Macaca mulatta: one gene and its partners. The protein of the gene in region 1 interacts with the protein of each later gene in a biochemical or structural test. Links are inferred from orthologs where the notes say so. Each region holds a gene or a part of one and is shown in the gene's direction. Other genes may lie near its edges. The genes, in order: PTPN11, TXNIP, SRC, SIRPA, EGFR, INSR and CDC73.

Evidence for each region.
Region 2: the proteins of PTPN11 (region 1) and TXNIP are reported together in a solved structure, tested with the Homo sapiens proteins (2 studies listed by BioGRID, with this or other methods). The link is inferred for Macaca mulatta from reciprocal best matches to the Homo sapiens genes PTPN11 and TXNIP.
Region 3: of the proteins of PTPN11 (region 1) and SRC, one has a biochemical effect on the other in vitro, tested with the Homo sapiens proteins (2 studies listed by BioGRID and IntAct). The link is inferred for Macaca mulatta from reciprocal best matches to the Homo sapiens genes PTPN11 and SRC.
Region 4: the proteins of PTPN11 (region 1) and SIRPA form a complex in vitro, tested with the Homo sapiens proteins (2 studies listed by BioGRID). The link is inferred for Macaca mulatta from reciprocal best matches to the Homo sapiens genes PTPN11 and SIRPA.
Region 5: of the proteins of PTPN11 (region 1) and EGFR, one has a biochemical effect on the other in vitro, tested with the Homo sapiens proteins (4 studies listed by BioGRID and IntAct, with this or other methods). The link is inferred for Macaca mulatta from reciprocal best matches to the Homo sapiens genes PTPN11 and EGFR.
Region 6: the proteins of PTPN11 (region 1) and INSR form a complex in vitro, tested with the Homo sapiens proteins (2 studies listed by BioGRID). The link is inferred for Macaca mulatta from reciprocal best matches to the Homo sapiens genes PTPN11 and INSR.
Region 7: of the proteins of PTPN11 (region 1) and CDC73, one has a biochemical effect on the other in vitro, tested with the Homo sapiens proteins (2 studies listed by BioGRID and IntAct). The link is inferred for Macaca mulatta from reciprocal best matches to the Homo sapiens genes PTPN11 and CDC73.

What each region holds. Positions count from the first base shown.
Region 1 is NC_133416.1:119,735,069-119,738,568, forward strand, and holds part of PTPN11 (tyrosine-protein phosphatase non-receptor type 11), read left to right. Parts: intron 1-1,158; coding exon 1,159-1,226; intron 1,227-1,705; exon of another isoform or gene 1,706-1,739; coding exon 1,740-1,891; exon of another isoform or gene 1,892-2,822; intron 2,823-3,500. UniProt on the Homo sapiens protein: Acts downstream of various receptor and cytoplasmic protein tyrosine kinases to participate in the signal transduction from the cell surface to the nucleus. Positively regulates MAPK signal transduction pathway. Dephosphorylates GAB1, ARHGAP35 and EGFR.
Region 2 is NC_133406.1:119,305,244-119,309,343, forward strand, and holds the start of TXNIP (thioredoxin-interacting protein), read left to right. Parts: upstream 1-1,300; 5' UTR 1,301-1,607; coding exon 1,608-1,857; intron 1,858-2,406; coding exon 2,407-2,479; intron 2,480-2,592; coding exon 2,593-2,740; intron 2,741-2,852; coding exon 2,853-2,955; intron 2,956-3,087; coding exon 3,088-3,344; intron 3,345-3,453; coding exon 3,454-3,610; intron 3,611-3,723; coding exon 3,724-3,875; intron 3,876-4,004; coding exon 4,005-4,040; 3' UTR 4,041-4,100. UniProt on the Homo sapiens protein: May act as an oxidative stress mediator by inhibiting thioredoxin activity or by limiting its bioavailability.
Region 3 is NC_133415.1:90,223,887-90,228,128, forward strand, and holds the start of SRC (proto-oncogene tyrosine-protein kinase Src), read left to right. Parts: upstream 1-1,442; 5' UTR 1,443-1,519; intron 1,520-4,242. UniProt on the Homo sapiens protein: Non-receptor protein tyrosine kinase which is activated following engagement of many different classes of cellular receptors including immune response receptors, integrins and other adhesion receptors, receptor protein tyrosine kinases, G protein-coupled receptors as well as cytokine receptors.
Region 4 is NC_133415.1:82,190,265-82,194,197, reverse strand, and holds the start of SIRPA (tyrosine-protein phosphatase non-receptor type substrate 1), read left to right. Parts: upstream 1-1,133; 5' UTR 1,134-1,524; exon of another isoform or gene 1,525-2,105; intron 2,106-2,495; 5' UTR 2,496-2,504; coding exon 2,505-2,583; intron 2,584-3,933. UniProt on the Homo sapiens protein: Immunoglobulin-like cell surface receptor for CD47. Acts as docking protein and induces translocation of PTPN6, PTPN11 and other binding partners from the cytosol to the plasma membrane.
Region 5 is NC_133408.1:73,468,115-73,472,345, reverse strand, and holds the start of EGFR (epidermal growth factor receptor), read left to right. Parts: upstream 1-1,431; 5' UTR 1,432-1,692; coding exon 1,693-1,780; intron 1,781-1,919; exon of another isoform or gene 1,920-1,975; intron 1,976-2,331; exon of another isoform or gene 2,332-2,471; intron 2,472-4,231. UniProt on the Homo sapiens protein: Receptor tyrosine kinase binding ligands of the EGF family and activating several signaling cascades to convert extracellular cues into appropriate cellular responses.
Region 6 is NC_133424.1:8,001,425-8,004,924, reverse strand, and holds part of INSR (insulin receptor), read left to right. Parts: intron 1-442; exon of another isoform or gene 443-1,190; coding exon 1,191-1,258; exon of another isoform or gene 1,259-2,317; coding exon 2,318-2,562; exon of another isoform or gene 2,563-3,061; intron 3,062-3,500. UniProt on the Homo sapiens protein: Receptor tyrosine kinase which mediates the pleiotropic actions of insulin.
Region 7 is NC_133406.1:50,674,708-50,678,207, forward strand, and holds part of CDC73 (parafibromin), read left to right. Parts: intron 1-2,427; coding exon 2,428-2,644; intron 2,645-3,500.

The sequences.
Region 1 (3,500 bases):
CAGGTGTCTGACACCACGCCTGGCTAATTTTTGTATTTTGATAGAGACAAGGTTTTGTCATGTTGGCCAGACTGGTCTCGAATGCTTGACCTCAAGTGACCCACCTGCCTTGTCCTCCCAAAGTGCTGGGATTGTAAGTGTGAGCCACCACACCTGGCCCATTCTGTTCTCTTCTACCATAAATATATTTCTTCCCCAACACTATATTTGTTTGCCTCACAAGCTTCCAGCTGCTTTCTACCAACGCCTTTGAAGGAAGCTGTGCTGTGACCTTTGTAATGAGTCTGTGGGCTGCTGATTCTCCAGTCTGGGCTTCATGATTATACTGGGGAACATTGGGTCTCCTAAATCTCATTCATTTCTTGGGCAGGTAGATATATGTGAAACTTTTTTATTTGTCCAGTTGTTAAAGAAGCTACCATTTATTGAGCCAGCCTCTGAGCACAATGTTTTTTGTTTTTAATTTTTAAAATTATTTATTTCTTCTATTTCAGTAACTTTATTATTATTATTTTTTGAGACAGAGTCTCACTCTGTCACCCAGGCTGGAGTGCAGTGGTGCGATCTCAGCTCACTGCAACCTCTGCTTTCTAGGTTCAAGCAATTCTCATGTCTCAGCCTCCTGAGTAGCTGGGATTACAGGTGCATGACAACATGCCTGGCTAATTTTTGTGTTTTTAGTAGAGACGAGGTATTGCTATGTTGACCAGGCTGGTCTGGAACTCCTGGTCTTAAGTGATCATCTTGCTTCGGCCTCCCAAAGTGCTGGGATTATAGGCGAGAACCACTGTGCCTGGCCCTCTTTCAGTAATTTTGATGTATTTTTTTGTATACGATTCCTGTTTCATTCTGTCCAACCAGCACTCTGTATGGTATGTGCTGTTGTCCCCATTTCACAGATGCGGAAACTGAGGGTCAGAGAGGTTAAGGGACTTAACTCAGGCACGTTGTACTGGAGAAGCTGAACTCCAAGAGCAGGTTTGGGCTGACTTCAAAGCCCTGTGCTTTTTGCCAACATATTTTCAAACATAAAGAGACAATTTTATAAATAGCTCCCAAGAGTAGACATTGTTTCTGTTAATACTAATGGCTTGGTTTTGAGTCTGAAACCCCCATGAATGATTCTGTTGTCCCTGCTTTTTGTCCTTCTGCCCGCAGTGCTGGAATTGGCCGGACAGGGACATTCATTGTGATTGATATTCTTATTGACATCATCAGAGAGAAAGGTGGGTCATCTGGCGGGCAAGAAGTGACAGTTTCTGTTTTTAGTTTATGGAAGGAAAGTGCTCGTGAAAACAGCCTAGGGAAGAGAGGTTGAATGGGAAAAATTTTTCACAAAAATCTGGGCTGAAGACTTCAGTGTGTCTGCTTGAGAACAGAAGTGACACTATTTGAGCTTTTGGCATAAAATGAAGTCTAGGAGCTGCTGAACCCACTGCCGTGGCCTTTTGTTGCATACACAGTGGTGGTCTCTATCCAGCCACCTGAACCTTGTTTACAGTATGGGGTGATTTGTTGGAAAGTGAGGGAATCCTGACCTCTGCCACTTTATTATTTATGTAGTCTTCTGGGATCTTTGGTATTGGTCAGAAGTTCAACACTGTAGCCATTGCAACATGCTCAATTAAAACAACAAAGACTAAATCAGCATTGTCTGTGAGTCCACTAAAAGTTGTGTGTAAACAACTTCATCCTGGTTCTGCAGTTTCTCTTTATTCTTCTTGATGTTTCCTTCGTAGGTGTTGACTGCGACATTGACGTTCCCAAAACCATCCAGATGGTGCGGTCTCAGAGGTCAGGGATGGTCCAGACAGAAGCACAGTACCGATTTATCTATATGGCGGTCCAGCATTATATTGAAACACTACAGCGCAGGATTGAAGAAGAGCAGGTACCAGCCTGAGGGCTGGCATGCAGATTCGCATTCTCTTTCTAGGCCTCTTGGATACGCTCTCCTTTTGAGCAGGAGGAGAGGCTCTGATAGACAACTGTTTGATTTGGGAATGGGAAACAAACTCCCAACTAAAAGGGCTTCTGGAAACTGTTAATTATTCTCTACTTCTCAGCTCTGATTTTTCACTGCAGAGGAGCTTAGGGAAGGGCACCATCCTATCAGCCTGGCCTGCCAGATTGAAGAACTGCCATGCAGAAAGGTCTGATGTTCCCAGGCTCACGTGGCAAGCATAAAACTCAAAGCCTTGAAGTTTCTAGCCTGTTCCAGCCTTGATCCAGGCCATGTTTATCCTGATTCCATCCTTTAAAACGAATGCCTCACTCTTAATAGCGCACAGCAGTTTGAACCACTAATTTGGTCGAGTTGGAAACAGTGAAATTTCAATTTTAATAAGCTGTGCATAATGAAGAGGAATGTGGAATTGGAGCCTTTCCATCTGAAGCTATTCATAACAGGCACAAAGCTGAGTTAATTAGGAATATGCTGAGATGAAGGAAATGAGGAGAACTGCTCTTTTGGGGGCTGTGCTTCTCTCCCCCACCCCTCAACCCCATTGCCATGCTGCAGATGGGGTAGTGTCTAAACATCAGTGACGATTGCCTGCATTACTCTGCTCATTGCCTTCCAGAGAACTCAGCTTCTCCAAATGCTGAGCTCTTTTCAGAATGGGACCTGCCACCAATATTTGAAAGATTTCTAGACTAGCAGAATAGCAGCCACTTTATCAAAGTTTGGTGGGCCAAAGTAAGGTAACTGCTAATTAGTTTAGTAGGTTTTCAGTCCACACAGACATACGGAATTGTTTTATTATACATAGACATCTTCAGAAACTGTATGTATAGAAATTAAGGTCAAAATTTGAACTTCAGTGCTTTATTTTTTAAAAATTTTTATTTATTATTGTTATTATTTTTTGAGACGGAGTCTTGCTCTGTTGCCCAGGCTGGAGTGCAGTGGCACGATCTCGGCTCACTGCAAACTCTGCCTCCCAGGTTCACACCATTCTCCTGCCTCAGCCTCCCGAGTAGCTGGGACTACAGGCACCCACCACCGCACCCGGCTAATTTTTTGTATTTATAGTAGAGATGGGGTTTTACCGTATTAGCCAGGATGGTCTTGATCTCCTGACCTCGTGATCCACCCGCCTCGGCCTCCCAAAGTGCTGGGATTACAGGCGTGAGCTACTGCACCTGGCCAACTTCAGTGCTTTAAATCTGAATTTGTATTAAGTGATATGAAATATTTAGATGGTTACTATAAGTTATTTTATATATGTCTTCCATTATACTTAATTTGGCCCAAGAATAGTTAGGCAAAAAGTTGCCCAAAGAGAAGGATTTCCTAGTAAATACAAAGCAAATGTAGCATAGTTACTACAATTTGGAGCATGTTCAGGAATGTCTTTTTTTTTTTTTTAAATGAGAGAGGTCTCTCTCTGTTGACCAGGCTGGAGTGCAGTGGTGCAATCATGGCTCACTGCAGCCTCAGTCTCCCAGGGTTAAGCGATCCTCCCACCTCAGCCTCCCAAGTAGCTGGTACTACAGGC
Region 2 (4,100 bases), on another chromosome or scaffold:
ACCAACAAAGGGAGGGTAAGGGTCTCTTCTGGCTTGAATTTATAGTGCTCTAGTGACCGATCTTTCTTCTCTTTTCCTTCTTACTGTTTTCTAAACCGTTTAGGGAAAAACCTTTGAAAATATTTTTAAAAATTGTTCCTTCAAACAGGTGTATGGCCATCTCTCCACTGGAAATTTGGATATAAACAAGAGGACTTTCTTGCTTTTAACCAGATTTATGGATGTATATTTGATTTAGTGAGTTGGGAGAGGGGAGGGAGACAAGAAAGAGTGAACATAACTCTGGAAGAAAGTGAAAAAAGTGAAGCATCCTTGTTCCCCGCCCCCCCACTTCCTTTTCCTCCAGAAGCAGGTAGGGAGTGCGAGATTATCAGCGCCTGGACACACCTCACTAAAGAGGTAATGAGGTAAATGGGAAACACAGACAAAGTGTTCCCCAACTTTGCAGGCAGAAATTGAAGAGATAACAGGATAAGCAACAGGATGTAAACACGCCTGTCCTATTTCCGTGCCAGAGAACAGAGAGAACAGAAGAGAGGGTACAAGGGGCGGGGGGTGACGAACAGCACACGCACGCAGCCCCCAGCCCTAGCCCCAAGGGATTGGAACGGGAAGTAGAAGACATCAGTCCTACAGCCGCAATGAGGCCTGAAAGTTCTCCTTTCCCTCAGAGATGGTGGTGTTTTTTTACATTTAATAGGGATGCGGGGCAAGAGAAGGACAAAGGGGCTGTTCCTTAACAGTAACACCAAGCATTCTGTGCTCCACGGCCCCAAACCTAAAAGTATTCTTGGAGCTATGGGATTTTCACACACTTGCTATTTACGAGCCACGAATAAACGACAGACTATAAAGTAATTGCACTGGCTAAGACTAGGCATGAAATTCCCTCATAAGCACATTTTCTTTTTACCTCAAACCACCGCTCTCAGACCAGAAACGTCCACACCCGCCCTCCGATGGCCTGTCGCCCTGGCTAGGTTTTAGGGTCAGTGGTATCCTCCTTCCACTAGGCCCGGGTGAAGACTCAACAGCCCCCTCCTTCCCCGCATTCCTCTCCTTCCCCCCTCCCTGCGCCGCTCCCGAGCACAACAACCATTTTCCCCGCCAGGAGCACACCGTGTCCACGCGCCTCAGCGATCTCACTGATTGGTCGGGCTCCTGGTAAACAAGGACCGGGCAGCCAATGGGAGGGATGTGCACGAGGGCAGCACGAGCCTCCGACCCAGCGCTCGCGTGGCTCTTCTGGCCGGGGCTTCTATATAGAGCCGTTTCCGCCTGCTGCTTGAAACTAACCTCTCTTTCTCTGTCAAGAAGTGCTTGCGGAGATCGGATCTCTTCTCCAGCAATCGGGGAAAAGAAGACTTTTTCTCTGAAATCGCTTAGTGTAACCAGCGGCGTAAATTTTTTGGACGCCTTTTCGAAAACCTAGTTAAAATTCATTTGTTTAAATCTCATTTTATTTTTAAGCTCAAACTGCTTAAGAATATCTTCATTCCTTAGGAAGAGTGAAATAATTTACTGCAAAGGAATTTCCTCGATTTGGTGCATTTTTTTTTTTATTCTTCCACGGTCTTTTCTAACTCTCAAACCAACTCCGTCCCATCATGGTGATGTTCAAGAAGATCAAGTCTTTTGAGGTGGTCTTTAACGACCCTGAAAAGGTGTACGGCAGTGGTGAGAAGGTGGCTGGCCGGGTGATAGTGGAGGTGTGTGAAGTTACTCGTGTCAAAGCCGTTAGGATCCTTGCTTGCGGAGTGGCTAAAGTGCTCTGGATGCAGGGATCCCAGCAGTGCAAACAGACTTCGGAGTACCTGCGCTATGAAGACACGCTTCTTCCGGAAGACCAGCCAACAGGTAAGCGGCCCAATTCATTGTTGGAGGGTGAAAGCTGATTAGAGAAGAGAATTGAAAGGAATACACAAAACTATACGAAATGTTTTAAGTTGCTCAGTTTGAGTGGTGTGAATTGCACGTTGTTACTTCCTTTTTTCTAATTTGCAGACATTCTCCCCCCCACACCCCCCAAAAAAAAGGGTGGTTTGTACAATTTTTTATGGTGCTGTGTCCTAAAGGTGGTTCTGAGGGGCATTGCCTCGGATAGTTAAAAATCTTATGTGTGCATTAGTTGCTTATTCTTTGCCTACTTCCTGTTTGAGATGTTAGTGAAGAACTGTCCTGGGTGAATCTTTAAAAGCATTGCAGGGCAACCTGGGAACTTGCTGCCCAACAAAATACATCAGAATTTCTCTTTAAGAACAACATGGGATGATTAAAATACCTCTCTGTGGGACGAAATTAGGGGTACTTCAATACCTTGCATGCCACCCAAACATTCCTTATCACACAGATGCATTTTAAGTGTAACAGGAAGCCTAATGGCTACTCGATTTTCTTTCCCTTCAGGTGAGAATGAGATGGTGATCATGAGACCTGGAAACAAATATGAGTACAAGTTCGGCTTTGAGCTTCCCCAGGGGTAAATATCAGCTAAATGCATCTTTGAACTTTTCTGTCTAAAATATCTTGCCCTCCTTTGATCACTTACTGTTCCTTGGAGAGCATTTAAAAATTTTCATTTTCTTGACACAGGCCTCTGGGAACATCCTTCAAAGGAAAATATGGGTGTGTAGACTACTGGGTGAAGGCTTTTCTTGACCGCCCCAGCCAGCCAACTCAGGAGACAAAGAAAAACTTTGAAGTAGTGGATCTGGTGGATGTCAATACTCCTGATTTAATGGTGAGATTCATTTTAAAGATTATATTCTCCTGGGTCACAGGGATGATAAATCAGATGTCTTGGGCATTAGATTAAAGCATCTCAAAACACTTTTTTGTCCCCTTCTACATAGGCACCTGTGTCTGCTAAAAAGGAAAAGAAAGTTTCCTGCATGTTCATTCCTGATGGGCGGGTGTCTGTCTCTGCTCGAATTGACAGAAAAGGATTCTGTGAAGGTAAAATCCTAGTGCTTATGGCAGACAGATATAACAGGAACTAGGTTTAGGGGCAAGGGCATGGGACTGGGGTAGAGGAAATGTCATTAACTATACTGAGTATCAGTAAGTTTTCATTTTTCTCTTTGCTAGGTGATGAGATTTCCATCCATGCTGACTTTGAGAATACGTGTTCCCGAATTGTGGTCCCCAAAGCTGCCATTGTGGCCCGCCACACTTATCTTGCCAATGGCCAGACCAAGGTGCTGACTCAGAAGTTGTCATCAGTCAGAGGCAATCATATTATCTCAGGGACATGCGCATCATGGCGTGGAAAGAGCCTTCGGGTTCAGAAGATCAGGCCTTCTATCCTGGGCTGCAACATTCTTCGAGTTGAATATTCTTTACTGGTGAGTAGATGCAGGGTGGGTTCAGCAGAGAAATTGTTCATCTGTTACCATAACTGTCTTGTTTCACCAGAGCGCTCTGGTCTAACAAACTACCATCTTCCTTTTCTAGATCTATGTTAGTGTTCCTGGGTCCAAGAAGGTCATCCTTGACCTGCCCCTGGTAATTGGCAGCAGATCAGGTCTAAGCAGCAGAACATCCAGCATGGCCAGCCGAACCAGCTCTGAGATGAGTTGGGTAGATCTGAATATCCCTGATACCCCAGAAGGTGAGCCAGACCTAATGTCTTTTCTTCATTTCTGGTCTACCTGGGTTTGTAAAATTGTGATGGTCCAGCATTTCTTGGGCAGGCTTCTTACGTGGCCATATTTTCTTTTCTAGCTCCTCCCTGCTATATGGATATCATTCCCGAAGATCACCGATTGGAGAGCCCCACCACTCCTCTGCTAGATGACATGGATGGCGCTCAAGACAGCCCTATCTTTATGTATGCCCCTGAGTTCAAGTTCATGCCACCACCTACTTATACTGAGGTGAGAATTGTCATATTTACTGTTAAATTTGTCCTAAGCTTTCTATAAGAAGTTGACTTAGAGGGATTGCTAAACTGGTTTGTTCTTTTAGTTCTTACCTGAACTGAAATAGTCTGTTTCTTCCTTTAGGTGGATCCGTGCATCCTCAACAACAACGTGCAGTGAACATGTGGAAGAAAAGAAGCAGCTTTACCTACTTCTTTCTTTTTGTCTCTCTTCCTGGAC
Region 3 (4,242 bases), on another chromosome or scaffold:
GTGCCCAGGTCTTGGCGTGGATTCACCTGTTAGCCTTTGCAACTACCTGAGGGTGACTATGGGCATCTCCATGGTACTGAAGGAAACTTCAGTCCATGTGCCCAGAGTCCTCCTGTGGTGGCAGCAGGGTCCCCTTAACCATGATGCCCCCACCTGGCTTGGGCAGGTGCCTGACAAGCCCTTCTGCTCTCCCGTCAGAGAGAGGATGGCTGCCAAAGGGCCAAGTCCCTGCCCGCCGCCTTCCCCCTTCATCCCCGCACAGGCCTGACACTACACCCACTGCTGCTCTTCCCTGGCCCGCCTCCCACCTTTCCCCCGCCACTGGGGCACTGTTATCAGGAGGCATTCCAGGACTGGCTGAGAACAGCTTCCACCCTGGGCCCTTCTGAGCGGATGTGATCACTGATAGGATGCCCTGCTGGGGCCTCCTTTAAGGAATGGGCTCTGGGGTACGAGACGGTGGAACCCAGATAGTCTGGGTTTGCCTCCCAGTGCTGTGTCTTATGAGCTGTGTGACATCAGGCAAGCAGCTCCACCTCTCTGTGCTTCAGTTTCCTCATCTGCAAATCAGGGCCCGCCACAGAGGGCTGGGGTGGTTCACTGAGTTCCTAAGCATGGTGCGCGCCACCCAGCAACACCGTGATGGTGACGCTGTAGCTGTTGTTATCCTCTGAGGATCAACCATCCCTCCTCCTTGTGGGGCCCCTGGTTTATTTGGCCTCTGTGTCCACCCCCTGATGAGGGCATGGCCGGAGGACCCCTCTGGACTTTCTCTTCTCCAGGTCTAGAGGACAAGGAGAGGGTGAAGCTGAGAGAGGCTATGTTCAGAAATTGGGAACCTGCTGTGTGATCTTGGATGGCCCCTCTCCCTTTCTGAGCCTCCATTTCCCGGCCTGCTCTATGAGCCTGTGGACCTGGCCCCTCGTTATCCCTGTCACGATACTTTCTGTAGTTCCTCCCTCGGCCAGCCCAGCTACATGGCTTTTGACTGTCTTTCCCACTATGGCATCAGTAGGTGCTCAGCTAAGCCTTGTTGGAGGAGCCTGGCAGTGCACCATTGAGTGACTGTCCAGGGCTTTCCCACTCCTGGCCTTTTGCTTGTGTGGCCCCCTTTGCCAAGAATGTGGCCCCCATTCATCTCTACTTGTGGAAATCCTTCTTGTCCTCGAAGCCCTTCGCAAATGCTGCCTCCCCCAGGAAGCCTTTCCCAGTTTCTCCCAGCCAGAGGGGATGCTGGTCCTTGGAACACTTGCTCTGAGGCTCTCTGGTGGTCCCTGTTACAGTGCACTGCAGTGTCCATAGTTACAGATGAATGGCAAACAGGGACTGTGCACTTACTAGGAGCCAGGCAGCGGGGGGGGGGCCCTGAGCTTGTGCTGTCTTATTTCATCTTCCACACCAGCCTTGCAAGGTGGATATTAATCCTATTATCCCTCCCTTTACAGAACAGAGAACAGAGGCTCAGAGAAGTGAAGCAACTTGGCCAGCTATGAGAGACAGAGCCAGGATTTGAAACCAGGTAAGTTTGTGTTTTTTCTTTAAAAAGGAAAGAAAAAACATCACACACACACACACACACACACACACACACACATACACACACACACGACAGGGAAAAGTAAGTCTCTCTCACACCCAGGTCTCCTTGCCAGAGTCAACCACTTGAAAAAATTTCTGGTGTATCCTTCCAGGGAGATCCAGGCATATATAAGCATGTATATTAACAATTTTTTTAGCATAATGTGAATTTCAATAATGATGGGAATGCCAGGTGTTGATATTTTTAGCTTCCGCACTTGACTCAATATTACACATTTGCAAAGAATTTTGTTTTTTTCTTAGGGTCTTACTCTGTTGCCCAGGCTGTAGTGCAGTGTCACAATCATGCTTACTGAGGCCTCGAACTCCTGGGCTCAAACGATCCTCCCACCTCAGCGTCCCAAGGAGCTGGGACTGCAGGGAAATGCACCACACCCAGCTAATTATTTATTTTTTTGTAGAAGCAGAGTCTCACTATGTTGCCTAGGCTGGTCTTGAATGTCTGGGCTCAAGCAGTCCTCCTGTCTTAGCCTCCCAAAGTACTGGGATTATAGGTGTGAGCCATCACCCCCAGCCGGAAATTTTTTTCTCTTTTTTAGATAAATGATAGCACACAGTCTACCCTGTCCTCAACTGACTTTTTTCTCTTGACAGTGTACCTCAGAGGTCATTTATTTGTGCTGCATTTTTCTTGTTCATGGTTGCGTAGTATTCCACTGCATGTACGGTGGTCACACTGTACTTAACTAAGGACAGATATTTTGGTTGTTTCCAGTCTTTTGCTTGTTCTAGGCAATTCCACAAATGAATATCCTCAATCATATGCCTTGTGTTTGTGTGTTCTTTTAGGATTAATTCCACACTGCAGGGTCAGTGGGTGTGTAATTGTGATAGGTATTGCCAAATTGTCCTTCAGAGAGATTGCGCTGGTGTCCCCACACCCTCTGTTCTCCTCACTCTCACCAGCATAGGATGTTACCAAATTTGGGGATAAATTGCATAAGTGCAATTTGCCGAGCTGATAGGTGAACAGTGGCCCCCAGTGTAGTTTATTTGAAAAATGTGTATCACAGCTTTACTGAGATAAAATTCACATAGCATACAATTTATCTATTTAAAGTATACAATTCGGTGGTTTTTAGTAGAGTCACAGAGTTGTACAATCGTCACCACAGTCAAATTTAGAACATTTTCATTACCCTACAAAGAAACTTTACCCATTACAGTTACTCCCCACTTCCCCCTAAACTTCCCTCCCCTAGACCTAGGCGGCAACTAATCTAGTTTCTGTTTCTATAGATTTGCCTATTCTGGGCATTTAATAGAAATGAAATCATTCAAGTGTACTCTTTTGCGGCTGACTTCTTTCACTTAGCATAATGTTTTCAAGATTCACTCATGTTGTAGCATGGATCAATATTTCATTCTTTTTTTCTTGCCAAATAATATTCTATCATATGGATATACCATATTTTATTTATCCATTCATCAGTTGATGGACATTTGGGCTTTCTGGCTATTACGGGTAATACTGTTCTGGACATTCATGTGCAAGTTTTTGTGTAGACATATGTTTTTCATTTCTCTTGAGTGTGTACCTACGAGTAGAATTGCTAGATCATATGGTAATTCCATGTTTAACTTTCTGAGGAACTGCCAGATTGTTTTGCAAAGCAGCTGCACCATTTTACATTCCCATCAGCAATGTCTGAGGGTTCCAGTTTCTCCACATCCTTGCCAACATTTGTCTTTTAGATTCTAGTCATCCGTCCTAGTGTCTGTGAAGTGGCATCTCATGGTGGTTCTGATTTTTTTTTTTTTTGGACAGGGTCTCAGTCTGTTGCCGAGGCTCACTGCAGCCTCAAACTCTTGGGCTCTAACAATCCTCTCATCTCAGCCTCCTGAGCAGCTGGGACCAAAAGTGTGTGCCACCACACCTGGCTCAGGCCCTTTTTTTTTTTTTTTTAGTTTGTAGAGATAGGGTCTCACCGTGTTGCCCAGGCTAGTCTTGAACTCCTGGGCTCAAATGATCCTCGCACCTCGGCCTCCCAAAGTGCTGGGTTTACAGGCATGTGCCACTGTACTCAGCCGTTTTGATTTTTATTTCCCTAATTACTAGTGACATTAAGCATCTTTTCATGTGCTTATTGGCCACTTGTATATCTTCTTTGGAGGAATGTCTATTCAAGTTCTTTGCCTACTTTTATTATTAATGTAATCTATTTTTTTTTTGTCTTAGCAACAAGGTCTCACTATGTTGCCCAGGCTAGTCTAGAAGTCCTGGCCTCAAGTGATCCCCCTGCCTCAGCCTTCCAAGTAGCTAGGACTATAAGCGTGTGCCACCATGCCTGGCTTAATTTTTTTTTAATTTTGTAGAGATAGGATCTTACTCTGCCACTCAGGCTGGAGTGCAATGGTGTGATCATAGCTGACTGTAACCTCAAATTCCTGGGCTCAAGCAATCCTCCCATCTCAGCCTCCTGAGTAGATAGGACCACAGGCATGCAACACCACGCCCGGCTAATTTTTTTTTTTAATTTTTAGTAGGGGTCTCACTATGTTTCCGAGGCTGGTCTCAAGCTCCTGGCCTCAAGAGATCCTCCTGTCTTGGCTTCCAAAGCACTGGGATTACATGCATGAGCCACTGTAAGAGATATTTATATATTGTAGATACAAGTATATGATTTACAAATATTTTCTCCT
Region 4 (3,933 bases), on another chromosome or scaffold:
TCTCCCCTACTAGAATATAAATTCCTCATGGACAGGGACCTCGTGCTCTCCCACACCCAAAGAAATGAAAATTCCCTTGCACTTCAAATGCTGCCCAAAACCCTGTGGGTTCTCAAGGACTGCTGTCAAACACTTCACTTATTTATCAAATGCTTATGCTGCACTTGGTATATGCTAGGCTCTTTTTAACACGTCTTACAAATATTAACTCATCTAATCCTCACAATTGAGACTCACGCTGGCCTCACTTCAGATGAAGAAGCTGAGGCACAGAAGAGGTAAGGTACTTTCCAGTCTACCCAGCTCATAACAGTAACCAGGGGATTTGAACCCAGGGAGTTCAGCCCATGTTCTCAAGTGTGGCACCCTCCCTGCCCCCCTGCACAACAGCAGGACCAGGCATTTAACCAGGAGGCTTGGGGCAGGAGGGGAGGTGGTGGTGCTACTTTGCATAGGTCTTTAACCTGGGAATCAGGAATTCAAATCTTGTTGCTACCCCAAGCTTTGCTGTGTGGCCTTAAGCAAACCTATTCCCTCTCTGGGCCTCAACGTTCTGTCCATTTACAGGGCTGGGCCCTCTCTCACCTTGTGTTATTCCTACCCTCTTAACTGCCACTGCGTGAAGCAAAATTCTCTCCCATTAGCAGCGGGTCTTGAACTCGTGTTCCTCCCACAATGCGGAGCCTACTTCTGCCAGGTGACCAGGACACTGACACTCCCCATCACTGACCTGGCTGCTACAGGAACGGCGTTCCCTCCAGGAAAACCGAGATTCTGTCCTCTCCAACTCCAAGCCTCTGGCTCCGGCTCCCACCCCTCATCTTCTTCCGGGCCTGTCCTTCTCCTGGAACCCATGCCTTCAGGGCCCCGCTCTCCCACACACGCCCCCTCCTGGGCCTCCCCACCCCCTCAATCTGCCCTCCACCACCGAGACACCTGGCCAGGGGGCTCCCACCTCCCTGGGAAGGCCCCGGCCCTTCCCCTCTGGTTCCCCGCCACAGCCCCCTTCTCGCTCCCTCTCCTCCCCGCTCCTCTTTTCCAGGCGGCACCGAAGTCCTTCCTACACACACGCTATTTTTGTACCATCACTCTCTTCTTCCTCTCCCCTTCCCCCTGCGTTCACTTACTTCCTTCTTTTCCTTCACCTCGGCCCGGCTCTGAAAGGATCGGGCCCCTCCGGCCCGCACCCATCCCCAAGAGGGGCCTTCAGCTTTGGGGCTCAGAGGCACGACCTCTTGGGGAGGGTTAAAGGCAGACACCCCCCGACCCCCGCGCCTCCACTCCCCGACTCCTTCGCCGCCTCCAGCCTCTCGCCAGTGGGAAGCGGGGAGTAGACGCGCGGCCAGAATCCGGAGGCGAGGGGAGGTCGGCCGCAACTTCCCCAGTCCACCTTAAGAGGACGATGTAGCCAGCTCGCGGCGCTGACCTTAGAAAAACAAGTTTGCGCAAAGTGGAGCGGGGACCCGGCCTCTGGGTAGCCCCGGCGGCGCTTCTAGTGCCTTCCAGCCCTAGCGGGCGGCGCAGGTCCGAGCCTGGCAGGGACGGGGAGGGGCAGAGCGGGACGGGTCGGGGCTGGGGACGAACCGCGCGGGCTTCTGAACTGGTACATCGTCGGAGCCGGAGGCTCGTCTAGTCCCGAGCCCGAGCGGGCTGCGGCGGCTCGCGGGGCCGCCTTCACGGGCAGCAGCCGGGGGCCCGCGCGGGGGTGCCGGGGCTCGGGCGCCGGCGCGGGGGGCGACGCTGCCCTCCCCGGCCGGGCGCGCTGCTCGCAGCCCTCGCTCCCTCCCCCGGGGCGCGCTGCTGGCTGGCGCGCAGGCGGGCGCTCGCTCGCCGAGAAGGTGCCGGCGGGGCCGGAGCCCCGAAGCCTCCCCGGGCGGCGGGAAGACGGGAGGAGGGGGGAAGGGAAGGAGGGAGGGGGCCGGGCTGCCGGGAGGGCGGGGGCAGCGGCCGGGACTGCGGGCCGGGAGCGAGCTCAGCCGCCCGCGCCGTGTGGAGCCCGGGCGGGGCAGGTGGGCAGCGGCGGGGGCGGCTCCGCGCGGCCGGGCTCGGCCGTGCTGCCCCTCGCCCCTGCTCGCGCGGTCCTCTCTCCCGCGCTGTCTGTCTCGGTCTGCGCGCCGCCTCGCTCACTCCTCGCTCGCTCGCTCTCCCCCTCTTTCTCCCCCTCTCGCCTCTCTGTGTCTCTGGCTCTCTGCCTGGCTCCCTTGGGTCTGTTTCTCTCTCCTGCCGCCTCTCTCTGGCCGCCCCTGGCTTTATTTCTCGCGCGCTTGGGGTCTCTCCCCGTCTCCGTCTCTCGATTTCTCCTGGGGGGCGGGGAGGGGGGTCTCCAAAAACCGCGGCGGCGACGGCGGCTCCTGAGCCGCTCCAGGCGCCCGTTCCGGAGTCGGGGGGAGGCCCAGCCGGGAGGGGGGAAGGGGGGGAGTCTTAGTCATTTCCCCGCTCCAGCCTGCTCCCGCCCGAGCGCGCACTCACGGCCGCTCTCCCTCCTCGCTCCGCAGCCGCGGCCCATGGAGCCCGCCGGCCCGGCCCCCGGCCGCCTCGGGCCGCTGCTCTGCCTGCTGCTCACCGCGTCCTGCGCCTGGTCAGGTAAGCACCCCCCGCTCCCCACCGCTGCCCTCCCCAAACTGCGGGCTCAGGCCTCTCAGACTAGCACTGGGACCCATTCGGCTAATGCTGAGCAGTAATAGGGAGAGAGACGCCTGTAACCAGCGTTATAGATGCGGAAACTGAGGCCCAGAGAGGGCCAGCGACATGTCCAAGGTCACACAGCCAAGGGTAGAATCCAAGTCTCTTCTCTGAGAGTTTGTCTCTGTGGACTCTGACTGTGTGCACTGTGCTGGGCACTGAGACAAAAGAGCTGAGTTGCTTCACTCAGCCCCTGCCCAGTCCAATGGGGAAGGCTGACTGACAGTGGCTTTCAGAGTAGGGCGGTCCTCCTTCCCCAGAATCTCTCCCCATGGACATACGGCTTTCCACGTTTGACTTCAGGGTGTGAGGGGAGGAGGTGAGGGCAGAGGTTCCCCCAATGCTGCCTGGAATGGAACAGAGACAAGCTGTTGCAATTAGGGAAGAGTGAGCCCTCCCTCTGGTGCGCCAAGTAAACCAGTGTTAGTGTGTGCCTGGGAGAGAGGGAACCGGGAGGCCACGGTAACCCCACAGCGAGCTGCTGCAAGCAACAGATCCTTATGTAAAAACACGGTGAATTGTCCCTGTGGTTGCCAAAGCCTCTCCCTGGTGGTCTTGCTCCTCGAGGCGCTCCCAGCTCCCACTTCCTCCTGCCTTCCCCGAGCTTCCAGGCAGCTCCCTGCAGTTCAGGTGCTCCGCGGGGATGTTACCTGTGGCTCTGAGCATGTCTTTCTGTTGGCCTACATCAAACACCTGGCTGTCGCCGGCAGGCGGGCTCTGAAGGCTACTGTGTATGTTCACCAAAGGGTGAGGTCACCATTCAGGAGTCCTTCTTCTTAAATGGGTTTTGCAAAACCATGGGTCTCCTGGGAGGGCACTGGCTTGGGGGCGGGGGGAGCAGAGAAATGGCGTTAAGGGAGTTGGGAGGGAGAGAATGGGGATCCTGTTTTTTGTTCTCTTGAAGCTGTGTTGTAGGCAGAGGGGTCTCTCTGTACCTCCCACCCTTGAGGAGGGAAGTAAAGATGAGCTCAGTGTCCAACACCCCCTTTTGCATTTGCCTAGAGATGGTAACCATCTGATAGCAGGGAGAAAGGGAGAACTAGCAAAGAGTGGGTGGAAGAAGAAGTGGGGGGTGGACAGCTGCTTCTCCCTGCCCTGCAGTTTCCCCTGAAACCCAGGAATTCACATAGGTATCACCCCACCCCACTCCCCCCCAACCCCACCCCCAGTTGTTTTCAGTTATAGTTGGGTCCTTGCTGGGTGGAAGGGAGCACTGATACAGTTCACGTCTCTCCAGTGAGTGGCATCTCC
Region 5 (4,231 bases), on another chromosome or scaffold:
TTGTTTTCTGTCTCTGTGTTTCTATAGGGACTGCTCTCAGCCCAGGTGTGCAGGAAGCACACACGTGCCTGCAGAGCCTTCACCATCTCTGCATCCAGGGACTGACTTCAACGCACAGTGGCTGTACTGATCCGCTAAAACAAAGGAACAAATTACTTCTTCTAATTCACAGGGAAGTTCCAGGTTGTACGGGTGGTGAGGAGCCTTGTGTCTGTCTGCGCTTGCCGTGGTGAAAAACCCACCGTTCAGGCTGCAGGGCGTGAAACCCAGGCACAAACACTTCGCTGGATGCGGAGGAAAGATGCAAGGTTGCTCCCCTTCAGAGACAGCAAAGGGCAGATCTGTAGCTCTACTTACTTCAGGATTATGATTTTTGACAGAGCCGGGAGATCAGGGTTGTTGAACCAGGCCTGAAGGTCCTAGTGAATCTCGTGAAGAGAGGAGGGGTCTGACTGTAACATGGACCTAGAGGACATTCTTACTGCAGGAGAAGCAACAGTGGGGATGGGGTGGACTTGCCAAAGGAATGTAGCTCAAGTTCCTGCAGCCTAAAGCAGCTCAGTTTCTTTCGGCCAAACTTTCGCGAACTTCCCTGGCATTTCTCCTGCGGGAGCTACCGGTGCAGTGGGACACTTAGCCTCTCTAAAAGCATCTCCACAGCTGTTTGTGTCAAGCCTTTATTCCAAGAGCCTCACTTTTGCGAAGTAACGTGCTTCACACATTGGCTTCAAAGTACCCACGGCCGGTTGCAGTAAACATTGAGGAGGCCTGTCTCTGCGCCCAAAGTTGGGTGCTCTCATTTCAGACGATTTCTAGGGTGCTTCACGGGATCTGAAGGACCCTCGGACTTTAGAGCACCACCTCGGACGCCTGGCACCCCTGCCGCGCGGGCACAGCGACCTCCTCAGCTGCCAGGCCAGCCTCTGATCCCCGCGAGGGTCCCTGGGTGCTGCAGGGGAGGTGGGGACCAGAATAAAGGAGCAGTTTCCCCGTCGGTGCCATTATTCGACGCTGGCTCTAGGGCTCGGCCAGTCTGTCTAAAGCTGGTAGAAGTTTGTTCTGTAAAACAAAAGAAGGGAAAGGGGGAAGGGGACCCTGGCACAGATTTGGCTCGACCTCGACATAGGCTGGGCCTGCAAGTCTGCGGGGACCCAGTCCAGAGGGGCAGTGCTGTGAACGCCCCTCACGGAAATTAACTCCTCAGGGCACCCGCTCCCCTCCCGCGCGCCACCCCCTTCCCGCGGGAGACCGGGTCCCGCGGGGGTCACCGCTGTCCACCGCCTCCGGCGGCCGCTGGCCTTGGGTCCCCGCGGCTGGTTCTCCTCCCTCCTCCTCTCATTCTCCTCCTCCTCTGCTCCTCCCGATCCCTCCTCCGCCGCCTGGTCCCTCCTCCTCCCGCCCTGCCTCCCCGCGCCCCGGCCCGCGCGAGCTAGACGTCCGGGCAGCCCCCGGCGCAGCGCGGCCGCAGCAGCCTCCGCCCCCGGCACGGTGTGCGCGCCCGCCGCGGCCAAAGCGGCCGGAGTCCCGAGCTAGCCCCGGCGGCCGCCGCCGCCCAGACCGGACGACAGGCCACCTCGTCGGCGTCCGCCCGAGTCCCCGCCTCGCCGCTAACGCCACAACCACCGCGCACGGCCGCCTGACTCCGTCCACTATTGATCCGGAGAGCCGGAGCTTGCTCTTCGGGGAGCAGCTATGCGACCCTCCGGGACGGCCGGGGCCGCGCTCCTGGCGCTGCTGGCTGCGCTCTGCCCCGCGAGTCGGGCTCTGGAGGAAAAGAAAGGTAAGGGCGTGTCTCGCCGGCTCCCGCGCTGCCCCCGGATCGCGCCCCGGACCCCGCAGCCAGCCCAGCCGCGCACCGGCGCACCGGCTCGGCGCCCGCGCCCCCGCCCGTCCTTTCCTGTTTCCTTGAGATCAGCTGCGCCGCCGGCCGGGACCGCGGGAGGAACGGGACGTTTCGTTCTTGGGCCAGGAGAGTCTGGGGCGGGCGGGGGAGGAGACGCGTGGGGCACTGGGCTGCGGGCCGGCGGGGAAACGGCCGCCTGGACCTCCGGCGCCCCGAACCGCTCCCAACTTTCCACCCTCACTTTCCCCGCCCCGCTGCGCGGAATCGGCGTCAGTGGGCGAAAGCCCCGTGCGGGTGGGTGCCTGGGGCCGGGGTCCCGCACGTGCGCCCCGCGCTGTCTTCCCAGGGCGCGGCGGGGTCGCGGCGCGCACCCGAGGGACTGGCGCTGCCCACCCGCCGAGGCTGCGCTGTTTAGGGAAGCTGAGGAAGGACCCCGAAAATAAAGCCTCCCTTCGGACCCCGCGGGACAGGCGGCTTCCTGAGCGAACCTCCCTGCCTCCGCGCTCCGCGCAGGTCTCAAACTGAAGCCGGAGCCGGCCAGCCTGACCCCGGCCCCTCTCCAGGTCCCCGCGATCCTCGTTCCCAGGTGTGGAGTCGCAGCCTCAACCTGGGAGCTGGGAGAAGTCCGCCACCACCTGCGGCGCCTGGGAAGGGGTGGTGCTGGCGGCGGTTAACTTCCTCGTTGGCAAAAGGCAGGTGGGGTCCGACCCGCCCCTTGGGCGCAGACCCCGGCCGCTCGCCTCACCCGGCGCGCCCTCGTCTTGCCGGTCCAGGTATGCCCCCCACCTCCTGGGGACCCGAGCTCCCTCCCGGGCGCCGGCGCAGAAAGGCCCGGGCTCTCGTTCGGTGGCCGCCTCGCGGGGACGTCCGGGTCTGCCCCACCTGCAGCCCTTCGGTCGCGCCTGGGCTTCGCGGTGGAGGGGGACGCGGCTGTCCGGCCACTGCTGGGGGGATCGCGGCCTCTAGTGCGGAAGCCCAGGAAGCAGAGCTCATCCTGGCCAGCACCACGGTGTTTCAAAATGGGGCTCACAGCAAAGTTTTCTCCTCAAAACCCGGAGAGTTTCTTTCTTGGATGTTTCTTTTTGCTGTCTGAAGAATTTGACATTGAGCCAACCAAAATATTAAACCTGTCTTACACACACACACACACACACACACACACACACACACACACACCGGATTGATGTCCCTGGTTCAAGTGTGCCAAGTGTCCAGACAGAACATGAGCGAGTCTGGCTTCGTGACTACTGACCATAAACCCACTTGACACGGGAAACATGCCTCGGAAGGTTTAATTGCACAATTCCAACCTTGAGCTGCGCGGGTTCCAAGAGCCAGGCCCGTACTTGCTGTTGATGTCACTGGCATGGGGAGTTGGGGTTTGGTGCCCAGCGCGGTCGTTGGGGGAGGGGCAAGACATAGAACAGTGGTTCCCAGACCTTGCTGCACGTTAGAATTACCTGGGATTAAAAAAAAAAAAAATCAAAACAAAAACCAGTGTCTGAATCCCGCCCCCAGACATTCTGATTTAATTGGCATGGGGCAAGACCTGGACATGGGATTTTTTTTTTAATGCTTTTCATGTGATCTGTTGGGGAGCCAGGTTTGGGGATCACCGGACGGAAGAAGGATTGTTAAAGTCTCCGGAGAGATTACTTGCCAATGCAAAGAGCTCTTTGAGGACATCTGGAATTTTAACAATGTTGCCAAATATAGGAAAGAGGGAAAAGGTGGGGTGTGGTTCCAATAATAAAAGATTCCTCTTTTCATTGAAGGAACTGGTGGAAAGGTTTCTTCTCTGCTGAGCTTGCAGGGCCCCTCCTGCCTGCTTGGGGGCTGACTGCGGGTCCTGTTAGTCAGGTGTCAGCCCTGTCTCTGCTGAAGAGACTCTTCTCTTTATTTTAAATTAAACCCTCAGAGCACCTCCAAAGCATCACTTTTCTCCCTCCAGTGGGGTTCTCATTCTTTGATGTTACTTGCTTGAACACCACTGTTAGTGATTGGAGATTTGTTCCTGAGAAAAATATAAATACCACTTAATTTGCCTGTTTATCCCGTATTCACTCAAAACAGAAACTCCTGAAGACAGAGAGAGTAGGTGAACAGGCGCTATTCTGTTACAGTAACATAAAAGACTGAATTTTCAGGGGCAAATTATTAAAGTAGGAGATGAGCTCTTTTAACAGAAATTTGTTTGAGACCTGTGTCTATCAAATTCAGTCGATTTTATTCAAGATGCACTTTGTTTAGTAAGGGTTTTGTTTGGTTCTGGGACATGCTAACTTCTGGACTTGCTGCTCTTAGACGTAATGACTGCCAGACACCGTTTCATGCGTCCTAATCCCCACATTAAGCATAAGAGGTGTACACTCTCCTCCTATGGGGGAA
Region 6 (3,500 bases), on another chromosome or scaffold:
TGGTGTATAAATGATATAAGGTAAATAACCTCAACTGCATTGATCATAGTAAAATGGAGTATGAGAGTTAGAAAGTGATGAGTTTTGAACATGTATTGTCTTTGCTTTTAGGGTAATTTATTTAATTGCAAGCCTCTATAATTTACATTTTTTTGTTCTATTTGGAAGGCATTGTACAATTTAATCTTTTTTTTTTTTTTTTTTTTGAGACGGAGTCTCACGCTGTTGCCCAGGCTGGAGTGCAGTGGCGCGATCTCGGCTCACTGCAAGCTCCGCCTCCCGGGTTCCCGCCATTCTCCTGCCTCAGCCTCCTGAGTAGCTGGGACTACAGGCGCCCGCCACCGCGCCCGGCTAATTTTTTGTATTTTTAGTAGAGACGGGGTTTCACTGTGGTCTCGATCTCCTGACCTTGTGATCCGCCCACCTCGGCCTCCCAAAGTGCTGGGATTACAGGCTTGAGCCACCGCGCCCGGCCACAATTTAATCGTTAATGATGCTTGTATTTAATAACTGGCTCACTCGTTTCCTGAAAATTTAATAATTGTTTCTCATCAGTCGGGATGAGCTCGCTGTAGAACAGTACTGGGTGAGTGGCTTTTAAGTGTTACATAGACGGCCATAAATTATAATAAAAGCCAGCCAGAGCCCTGCATGGTCGTGCACATCTGTAATCCCAGCCACTCAGAAGGATGAGGCAGGAGGATCACTTGAGACCAAGAGTTCAAGACCAGCCTGGGCAACATAGTGAGACCCTGTCTCTACGAAATTTTAAAAATTAGCAGCCAGGTGTGGTGGTGAGCACCTGTATTCCCAGCTATTCAAAAAGCTGAGGTGAGAGGATCTCTGGAGCCCAGAAGGTCAAGACTGCAGTGAGCTATGATTAAACCACTGCCGTCCAGCCACAACACAGCAAGACTCCAACTCTGAAATGTGAAAAAAAAAAAAAAAAAAAAAACCTGGGGAGGGATCAGTGCTGCTGCCATGTTGATGCACTTAAGTACTTGTCTGATGGGCTTCCATTCAAAACATAAAGGTCCCCCATCCCTGCCCTAGACTGCATCTAGAATTATGGGGATTCTGCTGGTAAGGGCTGCCATTTGCCTTGAGGAGTCTTGTATGAAACCCCTTTCTGGAGACCTGCAGAGTCCCATGAGAACCTCAAGCTAATGTGCCTCATTTTTCTCCTCCAGGCAGCCAGATGGGCCGCTGGGACCGCTTTACGCTTCTTCAAACCCTGAGTATCTCAGTGCCAGTGATGGTGAGTACCATCCCTTCCCTGTGGGTGACCAGTACCCTATTCAACAGCTTCCTTTGCCTTCACCATTGAGTGAGAGTGAAGGATGGGTTCCCCAGGGAGGCCAAGAAAAGCCCTCTTAGTCATTTGAGCTTGCCAAACTGCCCTTGCTGCAGAAACCTCATTACTGTGTGCATGTGGACACATGGTATTTGGCACCTGCCTGGATGGGCTCATCTAGCCGGTCTGGGACCCTTGGATGGGGTCGACAACTTGGGCTGGGCTCAGCTGGGCGGTTCTTCTTCTGGTCTTGCCTGGCTTCACCCATGTAGCTACATTTTGCTGGTGTGTCAGCTAGCACTTTGTAGTCTTAGATGATTTCACTCACATGTCTGGTGGTCGGCAGGCTGGGTGGTCCCGACGTGGGGGCCCTAAGCTGGGGGAGGCTGAGCCTCACTCTGTCCATGTGGCCTCTTAGGCTCCAGCAGGCTGGCCTAGGCTTCATTACATGGTACTCTGTTGGTTCCTAGTAGCAAGAGAGGGCAAGCTCCAGGGCAATAGTCCATTCGGAGTTTCTGCTTGGGTCATTCCTGCTGATTCCCATTGACCAAAATAACTCACAAGGCCATGCCCAGAGCCAAGGGGTGGTGAGATAGACTCCACCTTTTCATGGAAAGAGCTGCCAAGTATCCTGGCTTTTTTTAACCCCCAACCTATTACAACCTGTCTACCATCCCCTTGGCACTTTGCAGAAATAGTAGTCTCAGGTGGGAAGTAGCACCATTCTGTGGCAAGGATCTGAAATCAGACAAGAAGGATGGGGATGCAGGTTTGCCTCAGGACATATTGACCAGGATCTTGAATCAGTTGTGGCTCCTTCCTTGAGTCTCTGCCATGCCCTCTCCATGGGTGCAGATGCCTGTCCTGTTCTCAGCCGTACGCCCAGTGCCTGGCATGGGTCCTGGATCACAGAACTCACTTCATGAGTGTTTTCGAGGAGGTTTGGGTGAGGGCTTGGGTGGAAGGTGGCTGCAGACCCCCAAGGGATCAGCCAAAGATGCTGTGTAGATAAGTGAGAAGTAGTGTTTCCATGCTCTGTGTACGTGCCGGACGAGTGGGAGGTGCCTCGAGAGAAGATCACCCTCCTTCGAGAGCTGGGGCAGGGCTCCTTCGGCATGGTGTATGAGGGCAACGCCAGGGACATCATCAAGGGTGAGGCAGAGACCCGCGTGGCAGTGAAGACGGTCAACGAGTCAGCCAGTCTCCGAGAGCGGATTGAGTTCCTCAATGAGGCCTCGGTCATGAAGGGCTTCACCTGCCATCATGTGGTGAGTCCAGCGGGGGTGGGACACGGGCTGGCTTTCCTGCCCCTTCCCTCTCTCTGCCTCCTCCTCCTGCACAGAGTGACAGAGGACACTGGGTGTAACCTCCTGCCCAACCCCCACTCTACTACCCATCCTAAAGGTGTGGGGAGGGATTGTTCCCTTCTCAAATCACATCCTCTCCCACTTTGCCTGGAACCAGACTCTATCACTGTCTTATCACTTTCTGGAATGCTTCATTGCTTTCCAGATTCTTTCATCACTTTCTAGAATCTTCCATCATTTTCTGGAATCTTCTACCACTTTCTGGACTCTTCCATCATTTTCCAGAATCTTCTGTTGCTTTTTAGACTCCTCCATTTCTTGCTTTTTCCTGGCTCCTTTGTAACCCAGGACCACACAGAGGTCCACCTCATACCACCTGCCATCATTCCTACTCTCCCTTGAAGGCAGCACGAACTCTTCCTGCCTTTCTGCTCCTTTGTTTCTCTTTGAGTCCCATGCACTTTCATCCTTGCCACACATATTTGTGGGGCATTTAAAACCCTGCTCTTGTCCCCGTGATACAGTGGATTCCTGCCCCTGTAGAGCTTCCAAAACAGCAGGCGGAGACAGACTCCAAAACCTTTATTTTTATTTTTATATATTTTTAAGACAGAGTCTCTGTCTGTCACCCAGGGTGGAGTACAGTGGCACAATCTTGGCTCACTCAACCTCTGCCTCCCGCGTTCAAGCAATTCTCCTGCCACGGCCTCCTGAGTAGCTGGGATAACAGGAGCCCACCACCACACCCGGCTAATTTTTGTATTTTTAGTAGAGATGGGATTTTGCCATGTTGGCCAGACTGGTCTCGAACTCCTGACTTCAGGTGATCCACCGGCCTCAGCCTCTCAAAGTGCTGGGATTACAGACATAAGCCACCGCCCCTGGCTGACTCCAAACCC
Region 7 (3,500 bases), on another chromosome or scaffold:
TCTCCAACGTTGTAGTTTTCATCTCAAGTTTGTTTTGCTCTTTTTTTTTTGAGATGGAGTTTGGCTCTTGTGACCCAGGCTGGAGTGCAATGGCGTGATCTCGGCTCACTGCAACTTCCGCCTCCCGGGTTCAAGCGATTCTCCTGCCTCAGCCTCCCGAGTGGCTGGGATTACAGGCATATGCCACCACACCCGGCTAATTTTTGTATGTTTTGCTGTTTTTTAAAAAACATACCTACTTTATCTTTTTATTTAGCTTGTTGAAATATAGAACATAGTTCTTGTAATTATTTTCATGCCTTGAGATTAATTGATATTTCTCTTAATTCTGCTTTATTACATGTCTGCTTTATTACATTTTCCTGCTTTATTACATGTCATGTGATCTTTGATTGCACACCAAACATTGTGTATACTTTTTACCTTGTCGAGTGCTAGATATTGTTATATTTCCCCACATCGTCTTTAGCTTTTTTTGGGACACAGTTAAATCTCTTGGAAACAGTTTTGGTCTTGATTTTAACTTATCTGAACATTGGTCTGCTAGGGTAATTATTCCCCACCCACTGAGGCAAGACCATTCTGAGTACGTAATACCTCATGAACATGAGGTTTCATTCTGGCTAGTGGAACAGGCACTATTCTTCACCTTGTGTGGCCACTAGGCATTATTCTGTCTAATTATTCTGTCCAAGGCCATGTCTTGGAAACTTACAAGGCAATAAGCTGAGGCAGTCATAGGGCTTACCTTGTTTGTTTCTCATTTGTTAGGGAATTACTGTCCTTCATTGCTTGATATCTAGCATCTAGTAAACCATTGTTTTATGTATTTTGACTGGTTATTTAAAGGCTGGAGGGTTAGTCTAGTCTCTGGTACTTCATCTTGGCTGTAAGTAGAAGTTCTATGTTTCAAAGTCCATTGGAGGCTTGATTATAGTTTGGAGAAGTACAGTGGTCACCCAGCCACCTTCCGGGGATATGTTCCAAGACCTCCAGTGGGTGCCTGAAACCTCGGATAGTCCTGAACTCCAGCCAAGGAATCCCAAGGTCACCTTGTCATTTAAGGGAAGCACTTTGGGAGTGGCATATGCGAATTGCTAGCGTCACTACTCTTGTGTTTTGGGGCCATTATTAGGTAAAATAAGGGCTACTTGAACCTAAGTACTTTGATGCTGCCATTGTCAATCTGATAACCAAGATGGCTATTAAGCGACTACTGGGCAGGTAGTGTGTACAGTATCGATACATTGGACAAAAGGATCATTCATGTCTGGATATCCCAGGCAAGTGTCCCAGGCAGGACAGTACAAGATTTCAACAAGCTACTGAGCATGGCACATAATTTAAAACTTACGAATTATTTATTTCTGGAATTTTCCATTTAATATTTTGGACTGTGGTTGATAGCGGGTGACTGAAACTGGAAAGCCAAACAGTGGAGTACTGTATTTGAATTTGGCTTAAGGTATGCTGGTGTGCTTTAGATTTTAAGGGAAATCTGCACAGTATTACACAAAATGCATCAAATGCCAGGTGCATATGAGCACTACTATAAAGTACCTTCATACCTAATCTAAATAAAATTAGAATACTATATAATACTACTGTATTTAAACCTGCAGGGATTTTCATCCTTTTTCCAGATTTTGTGTAAACATAATTCAAGATTTTCATCTTGTGACTAAAGTAATATTTTTGTCTACTGTTATTAAGGTACCCAAACACTTTTTAATTCTTTTTCTCGTTTTACATGATAAAAGATACTTTGCTTAAGATTATCGTTTTATGACATGTATACTTTCAGTGTTAAGTCTTTTTTCATATTTCTGCAAACATAGTCTCTTTTTACTATTTTGCCTATTTGAAAATCAAGGAAAGGGAAGAAAAAGGAAACTGTATAAAATAAAATACGGTTTTATCTTCCAGAGATTAAAGGAGTATGTTTTTGTGACATAAAAGCCTGTCACTTAATTATGTTCTGCACTATGGCATACAAGTTTGAAACCTTGAAATAAATTTCAAGGAAAACCTAGGCTTTGAACTTTCTGTAGGATGGATTTTTTACCCCCTTCCAAAGTGGCCTCTGTGTGTGTGTGTAATTTCTATAGACAGAAAAAATACAAAGAAAAGCACCTATATTAATGAGTCCTGCTTTTTTGCGGTGAAGAGATGAAAAACCATCAAGAATTTTGTTGCACTGACACTTCTAAGAAATTACTAATTTGCTCTCAGTGTAGTATCTTGACATAAATTCTTTATAAAAATTTTATTGTAATTGCAGAATAGCAAGTCAGTCTTACAGATAAGAAAACCTTAATTATTGCCCTTAAAGTGTTTTTAACAGAAATTTATAAATGTAACAAAATATATTTATGATACACTCCGGGAATCCTTGCTGTGAAAATTTAAAAAAGAAATTGCTTTTAGGTCTTTATCTGAAGCTATGTCAGTGGAAAAAATTGCTGCAATCAAAGCCAAAATTATGGCTAAGAAAAGATCTACTATCAAGACTGATCTAGATGATGACATAACTGCCCTTAAACAGAGGAGTTTTGTGGATGCTGAGGTAGATGTGACCCGAGATATTGTCAGCAGAGAGAGAGTATGGAGGACACGAACAACCATCTTACAAAGCACAGGAAAGGTAATTTATTTTACTCATTCATTGGAGTGAGAGAGATCGAGAGAGAGAGAGTGTGTGTGTGTGTTTAATCTGTGGTTATAGAATTGGTTAAAGTTTGCTCTTAGGTGGAAGTTTCAAGTTTTATCTCTTTGAGAGCTCACTAATAATGTAGATTTCCAGATGGTGATTTTTACCATTCCATTCTTGAATATGGTTGTTATTCATCAGAGATGCTGATGAAAAAGTAGGAATCAAAATACAAGCTCCTTCACCTGAAACATGATTTGCAAATCAAAGAATGGTCTGGTTTTCCTGTTGAGTCATTTTTGCTTAAACCTAATAAACAAGGAATAATATTGATGACAAGTTCTCTGGTTATTAATGCCATCATTTTTTTCCCACATAGTAGAGAACTTATGGAAATCTGTAGCAAACATTTATTGAGTATATTTTATACACTATATTCTGTTGTGTGGGTATAGCAGTTTTTTCATTTGTTCCCTGTTAGTGGAAATTGTTTTCTTTTGTTTTTGCTCCAAAGAGGGTGCGATTTTTCTCCCTTTCTCTGGCCTTCCTTTCTTCTCTCTACCTCCCTCTGCCTTCCTCTCTTTCTCCTCCTGTTTCCCTCTCTTCCTCCTTCCCTTGCTTCCTTTTCACCGTTATGAATAATGCATCAGAAAACATTGTTGTACATATACCTTTGTGTATTTATGTGTATATAGACAAAGGATTAATTCTTGGAAACAAATTGCTGGTTAAAGGAGATATGCACTTTATATTTTGAAAGATAAAAATCTGAAATACTTGAATGTCCAGTATTTTCATGGATCTCCAAAAAGAGGATGCATTTACCCTGATTTATGTACTTACTTTCATT